Coturnix japonica: one gene and its partner. The protein of the gene in region 1 interacts with the protein of each later gene in a biochemical or structural test. Links are inferred from orthologs where the notes say so. Each region holds a gene or a part of one and is shown on either strand. Other genes may lie near its edges.

Evidence for each region. The genes of interacting proteins can lie anywhere in the genome.
Region 2: of the proteins of CREB1 (region 1) and RPS6KA5, one has a biochemical effect on the other in vitro, tested with the Homo sapiens proteins (3 studies listed by BioGRID, with this or other methods). The link is inferred for Coturnix japonica from reciprocal best matches to the Homo sapiens genes CREB1 and RPS6KA5.

Annotation. Positions count from the first base shown.
Region 1 is NC_029522.1:10,657,496-10,667,666, reverse strand, and holds the start of CREB1 (cyclic AMP-responsive element-binding protein 1), read left to right. Parts: upstream 1-3,219; 5' UTR 3,220-3,438; intron 3,439-7,340; exon of another isoform or gene 7,341-9,133; intron 9,134-10,171.
Region 2 is NC_029520.1:40,021,115-40,031,270, reverse strand, and holds part of RPS6KA5 (ribosomal protein S6 kinase alpha-5), read left to right. Parts: intron 1-2,416; coding exon 2,417-2,510; intron 2,511-3,798; coding exon 3,799-3,969; intron 3,970-6,622; coding exon 6,623-6,814; intron 6,815-7,415; coding exon 7,416-7,575; intron 7,576-8,469; coding exon 8,470-8,633; intron 8,634-9,620; coding exon 9,621-9,860; 3' UTR 9,861-10,156. UniProt on the Homo sapiens protein: Serine/threonine-protein kinase that is required for the mitogen or stress-induced phosphorylation of the transcription factors CREB1 and ATF1 and for the regulation of the transcription factors RELA, STAT3 and ETV1/ER81, and that contributes to gene activation by histone phosphorylation and functions in the regulation of inflammatory genes.

The DNA.
Region 1 (10,171 bases):
TTGCAGTTCATTAACTTTAAGGGGGGCGATGCTGGAAAACCATTTCTATTTTTGGTTACTTTGTTCTAAGGTACCTATGAATTTAGACCTACTTTTGTAATAAAGTGCTCAGGGAGCCCAGTGAATCTTCTTATCCCTGGCAGGTACTAAACCTGTAGGGTTTTGTTCTCATCCTGATGAGTAAGCAGTTTTAGCTGGTTCTGAGAGCCTATAAAATGATTGAAGACTGCTCTGCATGGGAGTTTGTAGCTAAGCCTCCATCCATCTCAGATGCAGAGACCAAAATGGAGGACTTGCCATTCGGTTTCAGAAAAGCATCTTTCATTTTCTGCCCTACCAGTCACCGCTGGGTCAGTCTGCTATGAACTGCAACGGCCATCACGGAGACATGGAGGTATTCCTGCCTCCCTCTGTATCTGTTTCAAAACTAGAGCAATGCAATGCTTCTTATACTGAAACGTCCTGGACACTTTGCTAACCATCCAATGTAACATCTGCCTCCCTCCACATGCATTACTTGCAAACAATCTGCTTCTGTCTCTTTATTTCCTTAGGAGAATATCCCTTAGTGAACACGGTTGTGAGGCCCTGGAGCACAGCTTACCTTCTTTTCTCCCCAGAAATACTTGTGCTGTACGTTAAGTCATACACATACAAAACACCCTCTCTCAGCTCCTGCACTGCCAGACCACAGCGGTCCTATGGAAACTGGCAGTGAATATGTGATGTTGAAAGATGATTTTGCTATAAATCAGTCCCTGAGGTGGCTTCAGAAACTATCTTTGTGTTGCATTCTGCTCAGTGGTGTGTTGACTGGACCGCTTAAAATGTACATTTCTCTGTATTACCACAATAAATATTGCCTTGTGTGTCACCAGCGTCAGCACTTCTGACTACTCCAGATTGCCATTTGTGGTCTGCCACACCTCGCAGCCAGGTGCCAACCTTTCTGGATCTCTGTGCCACCCCTCAGCCTCCACAGACCCTGGGCCGGGGGCAATCAACCTGCAAAGCCATGCACAAGGAACCACTGCCCAGGATAATCAGGCTGGCAGCTGCAGAGCTAATGAATTTGCCCCTGAGGCTTAACTGTAAGAAAAGTAATTAATCTTGCTGGGTTTCACTCATCATCAAGCAAACTTTCACTGATGAAGAAAACTGCTGAGCTCTCCAGTTTGCTCCGCAAGTCAACCTCTCCCATTTGGAATCTGTGGGTAATTGGTACATCATTACCATCCCATTTTATCCAAATTCCCCAAGAGACCACAGTGAAAGGAATGCAGAGATGCTAGTGAAGGAAAGGGTTTTTGTGGCTCAGACTCCCACTCCTGAAGAAGTTCCAGTTTTACTTAGTGTCCTGATTTTGGTCAGGATGCTGACTGAGAGGAGAAAAACAAATACCCTGGAAGGGAAAGAAGAATGTGCAAAACAGCTGCCAGAAAGTTTCAGAGCAGCTGCACACGAGATGTTCTCCCAGCCTTGCCTCTGAATCGGCGTGAGTCAGGGCTGAAGCCAGCTCCAGTCCACATATGGTCTTAGCCTCAGCCATGGGCAAGAGATGAAAATACCACAGAAACATAACATTGGCACAATCTCAAATGACTCCAGGCATGTGACCTACCCGAGGCATCTGTTTTAGTTTGAGATAAACTGCACTCGAGCTATCTGTGCAATGAGGAGTCTATGCTGGCTGGCAAAGGAGCAGCCACTGCTGCAAGATGCCCTTTGCAGCTGAGCTGGTGGACATTGAGAAGTGCTGCTGAAAGCCCCAAGTGAGTGCAGGGTTGGGAATGGCCAGTGGGACTGCCAGAGGATCATCCAGACCTTAAATGGGCAGCAGGATCAGAGCTGTGCAAGGAGCTGCCCGCCTGTGTATATAGCTCAGGGCCCAGCTATAACCCAGTCCTATCAGCAGCACTGCTGCTGCTCTGGCTTAGCGTGCAGCTGGGGCTTCTTGTAGGAGACACTGTCTGAGGCCTGGTCCGTGCCTTTTGGTTGCTTTTCAAAGGCTGGAATTTATTGTTGAAGGTTTTCTGCTGTGATCCTTCAAGGTTGCTGCCCCACAGTGAGAAAGGCAGGTCTGGGAAACTGGCATGTGTAGAGAACATCCACCAGGGAGCAAAGAAAGATGATGTAGCACCAAGATCAACACGAGGAGGGAAGAGGATTGGGAAAAGAGATAAAGAAATGCAGTAATTGAAAGGAGACACTCAGAGCACTGAGTCTGTTCCGCTCATCGTAGGCGTTTTCTCACATAGGTTCTCACAGCCTTGAAGCTCCTCACCTGCAGACAGGACAAAGGGGACAAGTGCAACGGGAGTGGAAAATGAGATGTGGCCCAGGCTGTATTATGGGGTTATTAGCAACGTGCTGTCAGTTTAACCTGACCTCCCTTTTTAAAATAAGTCAATTCTGGCTTATTTCATTTTCATTTAGAATAACTATAATCAACAGAAACAGAGTAACCTGCAATCGTTCCCTGCACCGCCTTTTAATTTGGGATGGATTTACACGACACGGTCCAACTGAAACCCATTTATTTGGCTTTCCTGAGGACACGAGGCTGCTCAGGAGCCCGGTGCTGCTGATGGGCAGAGCCGGCACGCACCGTGCTGTCTGCTGGGGATGTACCAGGCACAGAGCTCCAAACCTTGTTGTGCAGTGCCATCTTGAGGTTTCGAGAGATAAAAGCGCTTTATACGAGACTGCGCTGTGTTTTTATCGTGCAGAAGGAGCAGGTGAAGTTGGCTCTCCTTGCTGCGGGACAAGGTGCGCCCTGTGGGCCCGACAGGACGGTGCTGGAGATGCCCCGGGGCGGCACCGGCTCCTGTTGGAGCCTCCCGTGGCAGCGTGCTGCCCGTTCCGTGCCCGCAGGAGCCGTGTGACTCGGCCCGTCCCTGGTGCAGCCCGGTGCAGACGCCGCCCGGCCGATGCTGCCGTCTCTCCGCTTTGCGCCTTCCCTGCCCGGCGCCTGCCCCGCTCTGCCCCGCTCTGCCCGGCTCTGCCCCCGGTCTATTGGCGGCCAACGCCACCCGCCCCGCGGGCCGCCTGGGGCGGAAGCGCGGTTCGCGCCTTCCCGCGGCCGCTCGGCTCTTTCCGCCACCCCTCCGGGCCGCTTCGTTCGTTTCCGCGCCCGCTCGGCTCTTTCCGAGGAGGCCGGCGGCGCGCTCGGCCGTTCCCGCCGCCCGCCGCGCGTTCGGCGGTTTCCGTGAGCGCTCGGCGGTTTCCGTGCGGGCCGCGTTGCGCTCGGCGCTTGCTCCCTGGCTGGCGCTCCTCAGTCGGCCGCTGCCTGCCTGTCGCCGGGCTGGGAGCGCCTGTGTGTGTGTGAGTGACGCGGCGGAGGTGTAGTTTGACGCGGTGTGTTACGTGGGGGAGAGAATAAAACTGCGGCGAGATCCCAGGCGCGAACGAAAGCAGTGACGGAGCAGCCCGCAACCGGTAAGAGGAGGACGGCGCCCAGCGAACAGGGGCGGGGGGGAGGGAAGGAAACGGAGCCCGGCGGGGACCGGGGCGGCCGGCGGGCGGCGGGACGCGGGGAGCCCGGCCTCGCACCGCCCGCGGGAGGGGCGCCCGCCTTAAAGATGGAGCCGAGCCCCGCACCGTCCCCGCCGCCGCCGCGCCGCGAACAAAGGATAATGGCGGATCGGAGCCGGCCCCGGCGGCGGCCGCTCGGCCGGGCCACTCCGGCGGCAGCCAGCGGCGGCGCTCGGCGCGGCGGGGAGGGCCCCGGCCCCGCGGCGGGAGGACGAGGACGGGGGGCGCGGATCGGCCGCTCGCCCGTGCTGCGGGACGCCCCTCCGCCGCCGCCGGGCGCTGGCGGCGCTGCCCCGCTCTTCCTCCCCCGGCCGGGCCGGGGCCCCGCTCCCTTAAGCCGCCGGCCGACAGCCGCGTCCCGCGGGGCGCCGGCGCGGCCCGAGCCCGGCCCGCCCGCAGGAGGCCCCGCGCCGGCACCCGACGCCTCCGAGCGGAGCCGGGCGCTCCGGCGGTATTTTTAACCCGCGGCGAACCCGATTCCGGCCGAGGCGGTCGGTCTCCGCTCGGAGCCGCCGGTGCCGGCGCCCCGCGGCTCCGGGTGCCGCACGACCGGCGGGATCCGACCTCTGTCCGTACCTTAATGGCAAATGTCAACGACGGCGCCTTCCCACGCCACGCCGGCTCAACCGCCGCCGGTGCCGCAGCTGCGGGCCGTTCCCGCCTCGTTCCCTAGGACAGAGGACTCGATTCCCGCTTCCAAACCTGGATAACCGCATCTCTGTGCACGGCAATAAGTCCAAGTGACGTGGCAAGCGGATCTTATTAAAAATGTTTTTCAACCGAAGGTTATTACGCCTCCCAGTCATACACAAGGAGATACATATATTTTATTTTTGCAGACCATATGGCTTTTAATTCCAGATTTTTATTTTTTAATTCTCCCTTTTAAGCATTGCAATGCTTCTGGAGTAACACTGTTGTGAAAAGCAGCTCTTCCTGGGGTTAGAAACAATTTTCCTGTTTCTTAAATAAAGGACTAGAAACTGACCTAGGGTCATTAAGCAACTGCAGATCCACCGTGAGCACCAAGCACTCCTTAGAAATTCAGCACCTGTACTCGGTCCCTTCCCCACCACCAGCAAAGATGTTTGCTTTGGTTTTTTAAAGCAAAATTTAAGTCACCAAAACAGGTTTTTGGTCAAGACGGATATTAGTGATTCACAGAAGCACATGGACAGCCTGTCCTTCCTTCTGTGCAAATCAATGTGTTCTGTCACTTCCACCACTGTCAACATAAACGCCAAGGGTGTTCCACATCTCTTCCCACTCTATAATAGAGGGTTCCTAAAGCCATAACTGAACAATGCGCATCTGTGGGTGTTGGCGGGCAGTGGAGCAATTGGTGGTGATTAAATGATTTGTAGTGGCTGGTGTATTTCATTAATTCTTGGTTTGCTGGAATACGCACTTCATTTTAAATACAACAATGTGACAGTAAATCCTTGCGTAGTACTTTCTGTAGCTTCAGAAACACAGCACTTTGTCCCCTAAACATGCTGTTTCATAACAGCAGAGGACTCTCAGATCCACGTTTTCTAACCCATACACTGCACCCACACGAGCTCTATATCCTCACAGGTCAGGTTGGGAAGAGCAGCAGACAGGAGGTTGTGTTTGCTACGTATCACTGTCAGGTGACTCAGGGTCAGATATTTAAGTGCAGGAAAGAAGAACATAATAATGTTTAATATTTCATTGATAGAGTATAAATGTTAAAACTATTTCTCCCACCTTTATATCTGGATCTCCTGTGTTATATCTGGATCTCCCATGAGCTGTCTGCATCTGATTCTCCCCCATGGCTTTGGTGATGAGGTGCCTGCTGCCCTGGGTGCAAGGGATGATCTGACAGGGAAGAATGATCTGTTGATAGAGAAAATTTAGAAGCATCTAATTTAGGTTGTCAAGTCATCAGTCTACCCCTTCTATGGGAGCGTGAGCTGGTGCAGCTACTGCTGGTCCTGAGACCCAATATACAATATTCTGGAAAGTAGCAGTCGGGCTGTGCTCAGAGGTGAGCACTTCTTACCCATGTGCAGGCTTTGATAGTAGATGAGGCCCTGATGGGGAATTTCTATTGACACCCTAGTGCAACAAATAGGATATTCACACCTCGCCTCTATTTTTGGATCTCTTAGCAAGTGGAGATGGGTTACTCATGCCATGCTTCTAAAGGCTTTGCTGCAGTGAGAAGGCCTTGCCAGCTTTCTGCTCATCATCAGTTTCATTAAAAAGACAGTGTGAGAATAATATAAGGATGGTGGTTGTAAGGTAGAAATAATACAAAGATGGTAATAATACAAGAGGGATAGTGACAGATATCCAAAAGGTTATCTATAGGAAAAACTCACCAATACAGATGCCTTCAGTCTGGCTGGAAAATAGGCTGGTTATCCAATCTCCACAGGGGAGCAATCTCCAAGAGATGCTGCCTTAGTGGTGGTCAGCCCTTAAATGAGGTCTAGGAGAGGTGGAATCAATCTCCACCCCTTCGGGGAGCACAACTGAATTACCTTCACCTGTGTTCCCACAGCTGACCTGACACTTGCCTCAGCTGGTTAATCAGAGGTTCAGGCTGTGATGACCAGTTTCCCACACAGACAGTAACCCTCAGCAAGAGAAACAGCCCTGCTGAGTTGGGCTGGAGCTCTCTGCTTCCTTGCCTGCTTGCAGATGGAGGTTCATGTTAGTGCCCTGGTTTTTCTCTAATTCAAGAATGGTGTGGCCTCATCTGCAGTCTGTGCTGTCACACTTCACGGTGATGATGCAGACCTGACCACCTCGTGGTTAGTGATTTTCTTTGCACTTCTCCCAGCACTGAGGCACTGACACCTATTTTATTCTTCAAAACTTGTCTGTTGTTTGGTAGCACCGTGGTTAGAAAGGTGAGAAGAAGCACAACACTTTCTGGTTTTGCGTGCTTCTAGAACTGCCGTGTGAGCTGTGCAGATGAGATGCCCCTGGCTCTGCTTGCTCTCTGGGCTTTGCCAGGTAGAGCAGCATTTGCAAACAGGGATTTGCTCATGTCATGCTGCTGCCATCGCTTTCTGGCACCACAGAGTCCAGAGAATCCACATTTTGAGTAAAGCATTTTGAGGAGCTCTGTTACTCTGTGTGCTTTATAAACGTACATACATGTAGTTTTAAAGCAGTACAGACGCCTGTTAGCCTCAGTGATTCTAAGCAAAATGCATAGCTCAAGGACTTCTTTCACCCCTGAAGAGACGTGCCCTAAGATTATAAGCTTACATGAGAATGTTTTGAGATTTGGGTTTTTTTGTTGCAATGTTTTGTTACAATGTTGTTTTGTTACAATGTAACAACAGTTCCAGAGATGCGAGAGTCCTTCCAGTTGCTCTTCTGTTCCCGTCACTCACTCCAGGCAGCACTAGCTACTCTAGGTAAAGCTGTGAAGACCTTACAGCGTGCTATTTTAAAGCTGCCTTCGTGCAGGAGCATGAAACTCAAATGTCTGCCCTTGAGGTTTTCACACTTTTTGGAGAAGAGACTTGAAGTGATGTGTACAAAAGCCTTTGGTCCTGTGAGTGCTGTCCCGGTGGCAGCCTGGTTGGTCAGGGAAGCTGTCAGTAAAACCTTTTTCTCCCACACTTGGAAGAACTGTAAGTCTGGGTCGTGTTTTCCTCTTCTGTCAGGCTGGGTTGTATTTCCCCATGCCAGCACCCTGCCCTAGTTGCTGCAGGGCTGCATGGTGGCTGTGCCAGCACATCAGGGAATGGATGGGACTGGGAGAAGCAGGAGGGGCAGCTTGAGCAGCAGTTCTGCCAGATGGGAAAGTGCAGCCTGCACAAAATTCTCAGATTATTGCTGTATTTATAGCCAAGTTGGATCACATGGATCTCGTTCTTTTTGCTGCAGCACTTGATCGCTTCACTAAGTTTAAGTTTTTATATGTGTAAGATAGTAGGAGTGAATGAACATGGGCTGCAGCTGCTCCCAGACTTTAATACCGTGTACACGTACGGTTTGTTACACCACTTATTTACTTTGCTTAAGCACCTTCCACATGTTTAGCAACTATTGTGTTCACTTCCTCTGCGCTGTTCTTTGTTGTTTCTCTGCTCTAACTCCTAACCTCCCGTCCCTGTTCTCTGCAGTGCCTTGCTGCAATCTTTTTAACCATCTCTCCAGATACAGCACAACCTGCTGTTGTGTTTTGGCTCGAGTATTGCATGTATTTTTCTGGTAGATACTGCCCCACTCCTTCTCATTCTTTACCACTATTCAAAAATCAGTCTTTCCCTTGTACCCTTCCAAGAGATGAATGTGGAATCTCTTCCCATCCAACTGATCTTTTATACCCCTTAGAATGATAGATGGGAAGCAATATTTTCTTGCTTTTCCCTGATGGCTCTTTCTCTGGCTCTGTACAGTTGGCCCCGTCTCAAACTCTGCTGGTGCCTGTCCACTCCTCCAAGAGACTTGGAATATACGCAGGGTTTGTAAATTAAAGCCTTCATATGTTGTGGAGAGCATTAGACAAAAGTAGGGCTTCTGCTCCTTATGAGACTCATCCAAATTATTCTCTTCTGTACTGATAGGAGCATTCTGGGCAATACTGAGGGAGGGAAGGCGTGGAAAAGGGCAGTGTGCAGAAACACTGCAGTGTGGTACCAGCAGGAGCCTGCTGCCCTCATTTTGTCTGAGCTGACACTACTGTATGTGGCTCTCAACAGACAGACATCTTACTCCTTCCCTTTTTTCTGCTCCTGGTTGCGTGGTGTTTGCCCATCCCTGGTGCAGGCTGCTGTACTGTTGGTTGTACAATTTAACGAGCCTGTTCAAATCACCAACGTGGGAGAAAACCGTTGTCAGGTCAGTTTTCTTCTGCGTGACTGAGCTGAGTCGGTTGGTGACTGTATCAGCACTGGTGAAAACTTACTGTGAGACTGTAGGAAAGAGGAGGACAACTGTATCCCTTCAGCAGCAGAACTGGACCACAGCCTATCTCAGGGAGCTGCAGCACATCCTTGTTTGTGAGCCATAGGAGGAGCAGGGCTGTCATTGTGTCTAGGGGAGCTGTAACAGCAGGTGTTTCAGCTGAATTAAATAAAAAGAAAACTCTGCTTCCTTCTGTTTGAAAGCCCAGCGACACCTGCGTGGTTGAACTAGCTCCTCCTCATCAAAGGTGGGTTCTTAAGAGGTTGGATCAGTGTGACAGTTGACTACCTCTGATTGTGAGGAGCCCAGTCAGATGTGAAAAAATATATTTGATAGCTTTTTAATCAAGCTTCATGGGAAAGACAAAGTTCCAGAAGGGTCCAGGCCCAACATGTCAACATTGAGTCCTGCCAGCCACCCCAAGGCACCTGGGCCAGAGCAAATGCTGGGCTATCTTTAGTTTCACTGTTACTGCATGTAACTGCTGCAATCTCTCCTCTGGGTTTTAAAGTAACAATTGTGGCTCAAACTTCTAACAGGAAAACTATAGCAAAAGGTTTCTGTGGATTGTACAACTTAGTGGGCAGTATTTTGGAGTGGGCAGAGGAGGAAGCATGGTACCTGCTGCAGACTGCTGCTTTCTCAGAGGTGAGGCTCTCTGAATAGCTTGGCGTTCTACACAGTCCTCAGCAAGCCCACCCTGAAAAAAGGGGGAAAAAAAAAATCAGCTTTTAGCTTCCCACTCATAAGGAGAGTTATTAATAAAACAGTGATATTTGTGTTGCAGAATGCATGTTTTCTTCAGCAGCTTTGTTATTTCCTGCTGTCTTACAACACCTGTCCATGATCTGATTTACTTTGCTCCCATGGGCAGGCCAGGCTTCAGCAGGGTAAACTATTTCACCTTCTCTGTTCTTTCTCCCATGGCAGCAGCACCAGTACAACTGCTGGTGGTGTTGGGAAATTATCAGAGAACAAGTCCAGATTAAAGATAAGTTGTATTTACTGTTTTTTTATATAGTCCAGAGTAGTCCCCAGTCCCATTTACTGCACAGCTTCAAAGGCAGACGTTCCTGTTTATTTCTACCCTTACTAGAAGGAGAGCTGAGCTGGAGCATTGCTGCCAGCTATGACTAGTTGCAGAATGCAAAACAGAGGTTTTCTTTTGTATGCTCATGCACTTTTGTATTCTAAAGCAAGGCATGGATTCTGTTTATTTCTCTGGCCCTTTCTGGTTCATCACTGGCTTCTGCTGCTTATTCAGGTCCATCATTCTCAAGTCAGAGTTACCGGCAGGTCACATCTCTATTCCATCCAGAAAGTTGTGTTGCCCACTGGTAATACAGGTCTTAAACCCACACAAATATTTGAGAACCAAGGTAAGCTATTCTTGCTTATGGAGATGATACTTACGCAGAGCAGATCTGCCTGGCAGTCGTATGAAAGACCTTTCTCATTTTAGTTGTCTTTTACTGTCCACATAAATACAAAAATGCATGAAAAATAAGACAGAGCCCACACATTTGATAAACTTAATATGGAATTTGGTCATGGTTTAGTTTCAGTTGGTGCTTAGGGAGAGTGGGTCATAGATTTAATTTTGTTATACTAAGCGAGGTAAGATATCTTCTGTTGCTTCAAGAGCAGTGCTAACTCACCAAGCTACAGCAATTTCAATGTAACTCAGCCAGAACAATTTCAGGATTTAAAGTATTTCCGAGCTGAGCTGTGGCATAAA
Region 2 (10,156 bases), on another chromosome or scaffold:
ATCACATTCTTTTTGCATGGGATAAGTGTAAGAGGGCCAGTTTTGAGGTCTGCTATGATTAGTGGTGACATCATCAAAACTGTTAATGGGGTCTATACAGAGAGATTCAAATGACCAGGTGGCAATTGTGGAATTAATTTACCTAAACACAGGTATTGATGCAGTGCCATTTTAGAATCTAATGGTGTCCTGTGAGTCCTCCAGTTTGAGTCAGTCTTGTGACTGCTATCTTTATGTAGATATCTTCCAGGCTCTCCTATGCTTTGGCAACTGAATCCTGTTTGAAGTGCATATTTTGGAGTGGGATAGTTCACCCTGAAAGCTTCATTAACCAGAATTTCTCTTGATACGTTGGGACTTCATACGTGCAGTAGACACCTAGATTGGATATTTTAATCTGAATTTCTATCATAAATCTGCACTTAGAATTTTTTTTCTGTGGTGCATGCAGAGCTGCTGATCAGTACTTCTGAAGGAAAGTATTTCCTTAATCGTAAGGAAGCACTTCCTTAATCTTAAGGAAAAATCCACCTAAAATAATGGAAGTATTGATTTTGGATAACAATGATCGAATCAGTACTGACTTTTCACATAGGCCTAGACTTTTAGGAATGACATCCCTAAATGATGTTACTCACAGGTTCTTTTGCTCTTTTTCCTTCATCTTGGTGGACCAGGCTAAATGAAGGTAAGGAGTGGTCTGTGTACAAACATTTTTCAGGGTTGCAGTCTGTGAGCAGATGCAGAGCATGTTTATGTAGTTTCTAGAGGTAGCAGTGAATCTGTTCTCCAAATGACAAGACACAAACCAGCCTTGAAAAAGAAACTGTTAAACTGTAAATAACATTGCTCTCAAAAACACAGTAGCTCTTGCTGATAGAAGTGTAGTAGGTTTCTAATAACTTCTTTGCCTTAAAGTCAGACAGTCTTATACTCCTGTCCATCAAAGATACACACAACCTGAATCCTACACCTAGGCAAATCTATTCAAGGTACTTGGGATGAAGGCTAAAATGAATAATTCCTCAGTGGTCATGCTTTGTTAGTACAGCTGGACCTATCCAACATTTTAATGTTTTTTTCTGTTTGTCTTGAACCCCAGTGAAACAGCAGGGTCCTGTAAGCTTCCCTGAGTTACTGTTTCAGAGCTTCCATTTCTTTTTCATAATGCTGTCTGTCTACAAAACTGAGATGCAAACCATTTATAGAAAGGAAACACTCAGAAAAGTCCAGGCACATATTTCAAAGATTTGTTTACTTTACATTGAGCCCTTTTAGCCTGTTTCCTAGATCCACCTTCTCCTAGTAGTTCCTAGGAGGGAACGATTATCTAAGATGGTTTTTGAATTTGCCAAGGACCTGAAATCACTTCCAGTTTAAACAAGAAAATCAACAGAGATACAAGTGAAACAGCTTAGTTTACTTCTTGATTTTCTGCAGCCTGCAGAAAGACAGAATTTTTCTGTACAAAATTCTCATTGTGGTTCTGACCCTAATTAAATAACAACAACAACACAGAACCATTTATGCAACCAGAAATGCAGAATGTGTGGTGAGAGAGATGCTACCTGTGTTATCTATTCGGCCATTCCCTAAGTTAGTACAGGACCAACCTTTCTTACTCAGAAGGAGAGAGTTTTGACAAAAATATTCATGTCTTTTTTTGCCCTAAAATTGTCATTGTGTCTATTTAAAGGAAAACAAAGTGGTGTTCTCCGCAGTCACTATTCATGTGGGTTGTTGTAGTGTTCAACATGCTGAAATTTTTTGACTATGGATACTTAAGAACTTCAAAGGAAATTGTGAGATCATTTTTTACTTTGGAGCAAGACTCTTATTTCTTCTATTTCATATTTTTATAGTCATCTGTTTAGGATTTCCTTTGTATTGCGTAGCTTCTATACAGACCATGTTACAGGTTTTATTTTTTTTCTAGTATGAGCTTATTATTTCTACGCAGGAGTGGCAGTATTCATCTTCTATATGAATGGAAAGAGTTGGGGCACTAATTTGAGTCTTCAGGATAAAGCTGGGCTTAAAGATATTTGTAGGATCAGAGGGGAAATCAAATTGGCCTGGTCTAAGGGAAAGGTTTGTTTTAGATAGAAACTGTTTTGTAAAACGTTTTCTGCTTTTCCTGTAGTAATTTGCAGTTGCATCAAAAAAGTCATTTGATTTGGGTGTGGCATTTCCTAAATGCCCTAACTTGCAGGGTTACATGGATAATTTTGCTCAGCTTCTTTTGAATGTGGTTTTAATTCTATTCAAGGGGTTGTAATGTTAAAAAACAAAAAAACAAAAAAAAAGCAAACACCTGAATAGCCAACAATTAAAAAAAAAAAAAATAGGTGTTACACTTTGAATGTGCAACTTGCTTGGTAAAATTGGTGGAAAATGTTTTCTTAATTTTTTTCAGGATGGAAGCAAACACCCAGAGAGAAATAACAGCTCTGAAACTCTGCGAAGGACACCCCAACGTAGTGAAGTTGCATGAAGTTTATCATGACCAGGTATTTTGAAGCTATAATCAGCATTTGCCAAACACATTACTTTGTGTTTTCCAAATGTGTCTAGAAGTTAAGCTTACTATTATTGCATAGACAACTTATTTCCTAGGGCTTTTGTCAAATTTTAAAACAGAAGTTTATAAACATGAGGGAAATCAACTTTTTACACAGATAGTGATAGGACAGTGGGGAATGGTTTTAAAAGTAAGGAAGGGAAATTTAGATGTCAGAGGGAAGCTCTTTTCTTCGTGAGTGGTTAGGCACAGGTTGACCAGGGAGGTTGTGGATGCCCAGTCCCTGGGGGTGTTTAAGGCCAGGTTAGATGGGGGTACTTAATCTAGTGTCTGGTGGCCTTGTCTTTTCCAGAGAGGTTGAATTTGATGGTCCTTGAGGTCCCTTCTATCCCAAGCTGTTCTATGATATGATTCTGTGATTCGGATTGGATCTTAGGAAAAGGTTCTTCACTAAGAGCATGGTCAGGCACTGGAACAGGCTCCCCAGGGAAGTGGTCATAGCACTGAGCTTGCCAGAATTCAAGAAGTATCTGGACAGTGCTCTGTGACATGTGGTCTGAATTTTGGGTGGTCCTGTGTGGTGCTGGACTCTGATTCCTATCTATTCTTTCCTACTTGGGAACACAATATTCTGAAGACCAGAAATTTTCTGGTCTTGACATTTCTGCAAATTGTCTAAAGAAACTCCAGTTTTTAACTTAATCTGTCACTTTGATCAAATTCTTTATTAGTAATCCAGCCTTAGAGTGTTACTTAGTTATGTTTAGTGAGCCACAGAAAGTTTGCTAGTGAAAATACCCTTATTCTTTCTAACTTTTGGCTGTTCTCAAGGCATAAAGAAAAACTGCAAGGAAGGATATCTGAGAAGTACTACTAGCAATAGAACTAATAGACACATTGTGCTTCTGAGGGAGTCTTGCTGCTTTCTGTACACACAGCCATCCTTCTGCTCCTTAATATGCAAATAATGTGCAATTTCCTTTCCTGTATATTTCTGTGAAATTGATTTTTATTTTTATTTTTTGACCTGTTCCCTTGAACACACTTTTCTTGGCTTTCAAATGTTACATTGGTACTGTATTTCAGGGGAAGGAAGTGCTCGTAGCCATCACAGGCCAACACCAATTGACTTTTGAGAATGCTGATTTCACTTTCTGGTCCCAGTAAAGCTTTCTGAGAAGCATACCATTTGTTCAATTGAAAGACATTTGAATTGCAGTCATTGTGTGCTAATGTGTATATTTCTAATATCCCATCTTTTTCTCTATGGTTTTTAGCTTCACACTTTTCTGGTAATGGAATTACTGAAAGGAGGAGAATTGCTTGAACGTATTCAGAAGAAGCAGCATTTCAGTGAGACAGAAGCCAGTCATATTATGCGCAGACTTGTTTCAGCAGTGAGCCACATGCATGATGTAGGAGTAGTCCATAGAGATCTGAAACCTGAGGTATAGTGACTTCCTTATACATGTTTCAGTATTAAGCTCTTAAATTTTTCTGCAGTTGTTTCTTAATTTTTATAAAATGGTATCCCTTCCACAGGCATTTCTCTGTTATTAGGTAAAAGTAACTGTTGGGAAAGATTTTGAGTGTTGTTAGAAAGAAAAAGTACACTATAACATGTTTGAAAACATTCTTTACCTATTTGGGGAACAGTTTATACTAAGGGTAAGTATACTTGCTGTATGAAGCACTTCATAAGTAGAGCTGGGCTGCTTGCTTACTTTGTGCATTTTCATGTTCATTTAGTTACCTTAATTCACTTGCTGGGGCTTCTTTTGAAAGCAACTGCTACACCCTGATACCATCGTATTCTCCAGTTAAGCACAAAGTGAAATACAGTCTAGCACAGCTGACTAATGGAGATGCGTGATTTGTGTTCAGTGACTTAAGTAGTTTCTGAAGAGGAAAAAATCATATTATTTCATATGTATTTTTAAGGAATTATTGCTCTGAGTATTAACAGTATTGTGCTGCAGCATCTTGCCTTCAAGACAGTTTTGTTTACTATAATGCAGATGACCACTGGTTTTGTTCTGTTTCCCAGAGACAATGTTTGTTCCTTCTAGTGGTTTTTGTTTTGTTTTGTTTGCTTTTAATTTCTCCTAGGGATGGTGTAGTTTCATGTTAGTTTGTCCAGCAAGGACATTATATTGTATTGGTGATTACAGTCAGCATATATCATTAAATAGCTACGACATTTGTATCCGGATTTAAAAATGATCTGTGGTTCCTGCTGTCATTTCACCTTTTTGTAACATGCATTCCAATACTCTACAGATGCATCCCTTTTATAGTAGTTAGAATTCTAAGTGTAAACTTCTAGATGTTGGTATTTAAGTGCTAAACCTATGTTTGAAAGCATCTCTGTACTGAAAAAGCAGTGAAATAAAGAAGAGCTATTGTGAAATTCTAATATATCAGTTAGGAATATGACTTTTGAAAAAGTTTCTGCTTGTACCATCAAGGAAATCAAACAGCTTTTGAAACAAGTCCTTGTTGAAGTAACAAAAAATAGAAATCCATTTTCACTTCCTTTTCTCCCAGTTTTATTCTTATTGCCAACTTGAATCTAAAGGCCTGACTCTGTAAAGCTGGGCTTCTTTCAGCCGTGTTGTAAGTTAAAGCAGTCTTTGGTTCCATATCATATTCAAGAAGAGAAGCCATGAAAGTGCAAGTAATGAAGGGTTAGCAAACAATTTATAGAATGCATTTCCTTTACAGAGTTGAACTTAACCAACCTGTCTCCTTCCTCTCCTTCCTGCTTTTTGTTTTGAGAGTTACTATTTTAGATTCAGGCATGAACTTAGTATGGGATATGCAGTTTTCCCAATATAGATGTGGTTAGTGCACCTTTCTATAAAAAGATATATAGAAAACTCTGATGCTCTAACAACTCCAGTCAGATTTGTTTTGATGTTCAGCTTTGGCATCTGAACTGTTACTAGTAAATCTGCTTTTAAAAAATGGAACTGGTTATGTGTCAATAAAGATGGGGCTTCTTTTTACTAGTGTGGACTGGAAGGTTCTTCTGTTTAAGCAGCAGTAATTAGACCACATATATTGCTTTGCACAATAGAGGGTATGTACTGAATTAAAAAAAATAATAATAATCAGAAATTACAGAAGAATTAATGGAGCATATGTGACCACTTGAAACCTATCAGTAGAGGATTTAGGGATTTTTTTTTTCCCATGAAGTAATCAATAATCTGTGAACTGGGCTCTAAGGATATTAGGAAAAAATATACCAAGACATAACCACAAAATTATAGGAATTGGAAGGGAGCTCTAGAGTTCATTCAGTGCAACCACCTGCCTAAAGCAGTCTCCTTACAGTGAGCTGCAAGTGCTGTTGACTGCAGCTTTGGGGTTTTGGTGAAGTACAGTTTATTTACCTAGTCAATAAAGGAATCTCAACCCAACTTAGGACTGTATCTTTCTTTCTGTACATAAGCAATTTCACTTTCAGCTCAAGAGAGATCTTTATAAACCAATATTGTTAAAATTGAAATTTCCACAGTGCATGTAGCATATATCATCTTTTATCCATGATGAATGCTCTCAGGTTCTCCTTGTTGATTTTCTTGCAGTCTAGGAATTGATTTTTTTTTCTCTCCTCTTATTAATGAGTTTGAAAATAATTATTTCATGTTCAATCATTGATCTTTTGAATTAGAAAAATACTTATGGCTGTAGGCTTTCCTAGCATTGAAGAGATCAAACAGTGAAGGTAACAGCAGAGCTTTGCTCTCCTCTGCTCTCTCAAAAGTTCAAGGAGAAGTAGAAATCAGTAATAATTAATCTCTGCCTCAGCTACTTTTCATAAGCCTCACTCTTGTATATCCCTTGAGAAGTGCACACAGAGAAAAGAATAGATTATCTTAAATCTTCTCCTGAACTGATGACAGCTTGTCTTTCTTCAAAGCTGAAATGCTGTATTCCATATGTAAAGCTGAAATTCTCGGGAACAGCTGAAATCAAGTTTTATTACTTTTGTTTGATGTTCTGTTCTGTAGTAATAAATGTAGAAGAATACCTAGTAGGCTGTTCTGAACAATTTTCTAATTAATGCTAATAATTATATTGTTTGCTTTTCAGAATTTGTTGTTTACAGATGAAACTGATAATTCAGAAATAAAAATAATTGATTTTGGCTTTGCTCGTTTAAAACCACCTGACAATCAGCCTCTGAAGACTCCATGTTTTACTCTGCATTATGCTGCCCCAGAGCTCTTTAATCACAATGGTTATGATGAATCCTGCGATCTCTGGAGTTTGGGAGTCATTCTGGTAAGTGAATGGGTTTTTAATTTATAATTTTATTATACGTATTTACTGTTTAGTAAAATGCAAAGAATTCAGCACAGTTTTGGATTTGTATTGGGTAGATGGTACATTCAAGTAATGCTGCTCAAATAATAGATTCCAAAAACAGTTATTTTCTGGGAGTGGAGATTATTTTTTTTTTTTTTCCTAAGTAGTAAATTTAATTCAGTATTTTTGGGAGTTGAAAAAAACACTCAATACAGTCTGGTTCTTAAAAAGAAACATTCTTGTTAGATTGTACAGGCATCCATATAGTCTTCTGAGAGTTTTGGTTCAGAGTAGGAACCAGCCTGTACTGCAAAATACAGAAAACTGTTTTCAAGAGAAGTAAGCTTGGTACAAATACCATCATGTTTTGACTGAGGTTTCTGTAACTTACAAATACTTTTTCTTATAAGGGCTCAATTGATAGTCTTGTGTGTTTAGCGCTTTCTATAGCTTTGAAAATGTGCTAGTCAGTGTTCTATTTTATACTGCTGGTGATGCTGTAGAAACAGCAGTAACTGCCTATGTATAGTTTTCAATAAATATGTTGTTTGTTAATATTATTTTGTTCTTGTGACAGTATACGATGTTATCAGGACAGGTACCATTTCAGTCTCAAGACAAAAGTTTAACATGTACTAGTGCTTTGGAAATTATGAAAAAAATAAAAAAGGGAGAATTTTCCTTTGAAGGGGAAGCTTGGAAAAATGTTTCTGAAGAGGCCAAAGAGTTAATTCAAGGTAAGTAACCATGAATACTTTGTTTTTCTATTTCCAAAGGTATCATTTATAGCACTATCTGCTACCTGAATGCTGTCTAACCTGACAGAGTAGAATGCACAACTTGAGCTACGAGTTTTGCTCACAGTCGGACATATCAAAATGAGGTTCAGAATTCTACATATGCTGGGCATAGCTTTCTAATGTAGTAAGATGTTAATAGAAGGTTAATGTTTTCATTTCCTGGGGTAGGAAATAACTGAAGAGGTTTTGAAAAGTTGAAAATAATTTTAAAAGAATAAAAATAGTTGTATTTTGGTTATGTGAAAATGCCAGGTTTGTTGGTGAGATACATATTTTAAAAGTAGAGCTTTATCAGAAAATAAATGCATTACTGTCTTTTCCCTTCAACTGTGTCTTTGTACAAGTGTGCCAAGACTGCTGTATTTCTGAGCTGTTCTGTTTGCATTTGCTATGCTTTGTGTTTCCTTTAACCATTTTAGGCATCGAATTAAGGCATTCTAATATGAAGTTGTGAATCTGTGTAGAATCCGGCTTAGGAGGAGTCTTCATGCCAAAAGTGTAGGCATATCCAGATTCAGATTTTAGTGGACTGTGCTGAGAATCTGGGGATTGCTTTCTTGGATTTCATTCTAGACAGGTTTTAAGTGACTGAATCCTGTTATTTTAGAATTCATGTGAAAAGAGATGAGTTATCAAACATGTAACAATTTCTTGGTTTTAATGGTTCTGCTACAGTGAATGATGGCATAACATTGTGTGAGCTTTATTTAGAATAAACATTGGCCTATGTGGGATAAATATTGTCATGACTTAGTTATCAAAGCAATGCGTTGTCTCTTAAAAGAGGGCAAATAGTTCACAAGTGAAGAGAATGTAATATATTTCTATTAGGGCTTCTGACAGTGGATCCAAACAAAAGAATTAAGATGTCCAGTCTGAGATACAACGAATGGCTTCAGGATGGCAGCCAGCTGTCATCTAACCCTCTAATGACTCCTGATAACTTGGGCTCTTCAGGTGCTGCAGTTCATACGTATGTCAAAGCCACTTTTCATGTAAGTTCTAAAATAATCTTTTGTTATGTAGTAAATCATGTAATTTGCTAATCTAGATTTCTGTAGGTTTTCTTCTTAAATAAAAATGTGTTTGTCCTTGTAATTCAGTGATTCCTTATAATTGCTTTTTTTTTCCATCTGCACCAAACGTTTATGAGTAAGTACAGTGAAAATAAAAATGATGAGACAAAAATGAATTTTCACTTTTTTGTATAAATGAGGTTTTTTGGGTTGAGAGGCAACTGCTAATAAAATATCTGTAAAACTATTCTGTTTGTGTTAATATTATCATCTTGCACTATGTGCTTCATTGAAAGCTTTAAAATATATTGAAAGACCTTCTAGCTTTTGTAGAAGGGAGAAGAAAGTTTCTGCTTAAGTCACTGGAATTCTTATCCTTCTTATAGTTACGAAATCAAGATTATATATGTCTGTACATTATGTATTTGTATTTTAAGTATCATGGATACTTTAAGTAGACTTGCTCATCTACCAATATTTGTTTACTAAATAAGTTTGAATTTCAGCTGTATTGTACAAGCATAGTATTGACTGTCATTATTCCTTTTACAGAAAATGAACTGAAATTGAGCATTTCTGTGCTGAAGTACTTGTATGCACTTATAACTAAGCAGAGAAAAAGAAAAGTTACTTTGAGATGTCTCAATAATGCAAAATAATTTGAGCTGAAGGAAAAGAGTTTTATTTACTTAAAAGAGTTTTATTTAACTAATTGTACTTCCTGAAAATGTAATCTTAATGTAGTTAAAGTCTCAAAACTAGTCTCTGAACTTAGAAGAACAGGAAGGGGAAAATGCCAGTTAATATATCACATATAACTCAAATACGGATAATGACTAATTGTCCTTTAAGTATATGTAAAGGCTATGAAAATTGCTGGTATAACTAAAATAATAATTGTTTTATTAGCCATAAAATGTCTTCAGTATCTTAAAAACATTAGAACTACCTTTTGTTTTAAAACAGGCCTTTAACAAGTACAAAAGGGAAGGATTTTGCCTCCAGAATGTTGACAAGGCACCTCTTGCAAAGAGAAGGAAAATGAAAAAAACGAGTACAAGCACAGAGACGCGTAGCAGCTCCAGTGAAAGTTCACATTCTTCTTCCTCTCATTCTCATGGTAAAACTACACCAACAAAGACACTGCAACCAACAAACCCTACAGACAGCAATAACCCAGAAACTATCTTCCAGTTCTCTGACTGAAAAGCAGAGAATATTTTGTCTTGAAGATCTGTGTGGTTATAAACTGAGCAGTACCTTTGTCTTCTCCCACCCTTCCTCCCTGTGGCTTACAGGCTACAGAAATATGTCCGCCGCTTTAATAATGTATTTCAGTCATACCTTTTTAGCTTCATATTTCAGTACATTTCTTTTTAGCATTAAGTTTGGTATCACTGGATATGGTATAATACTATATGACAACCAACATTGTATTCACTTGGGATAAATTACTAGTCTGCAGTCAGGCTCCTCATAGTAAGGAGCTATTCTGCCCTTGG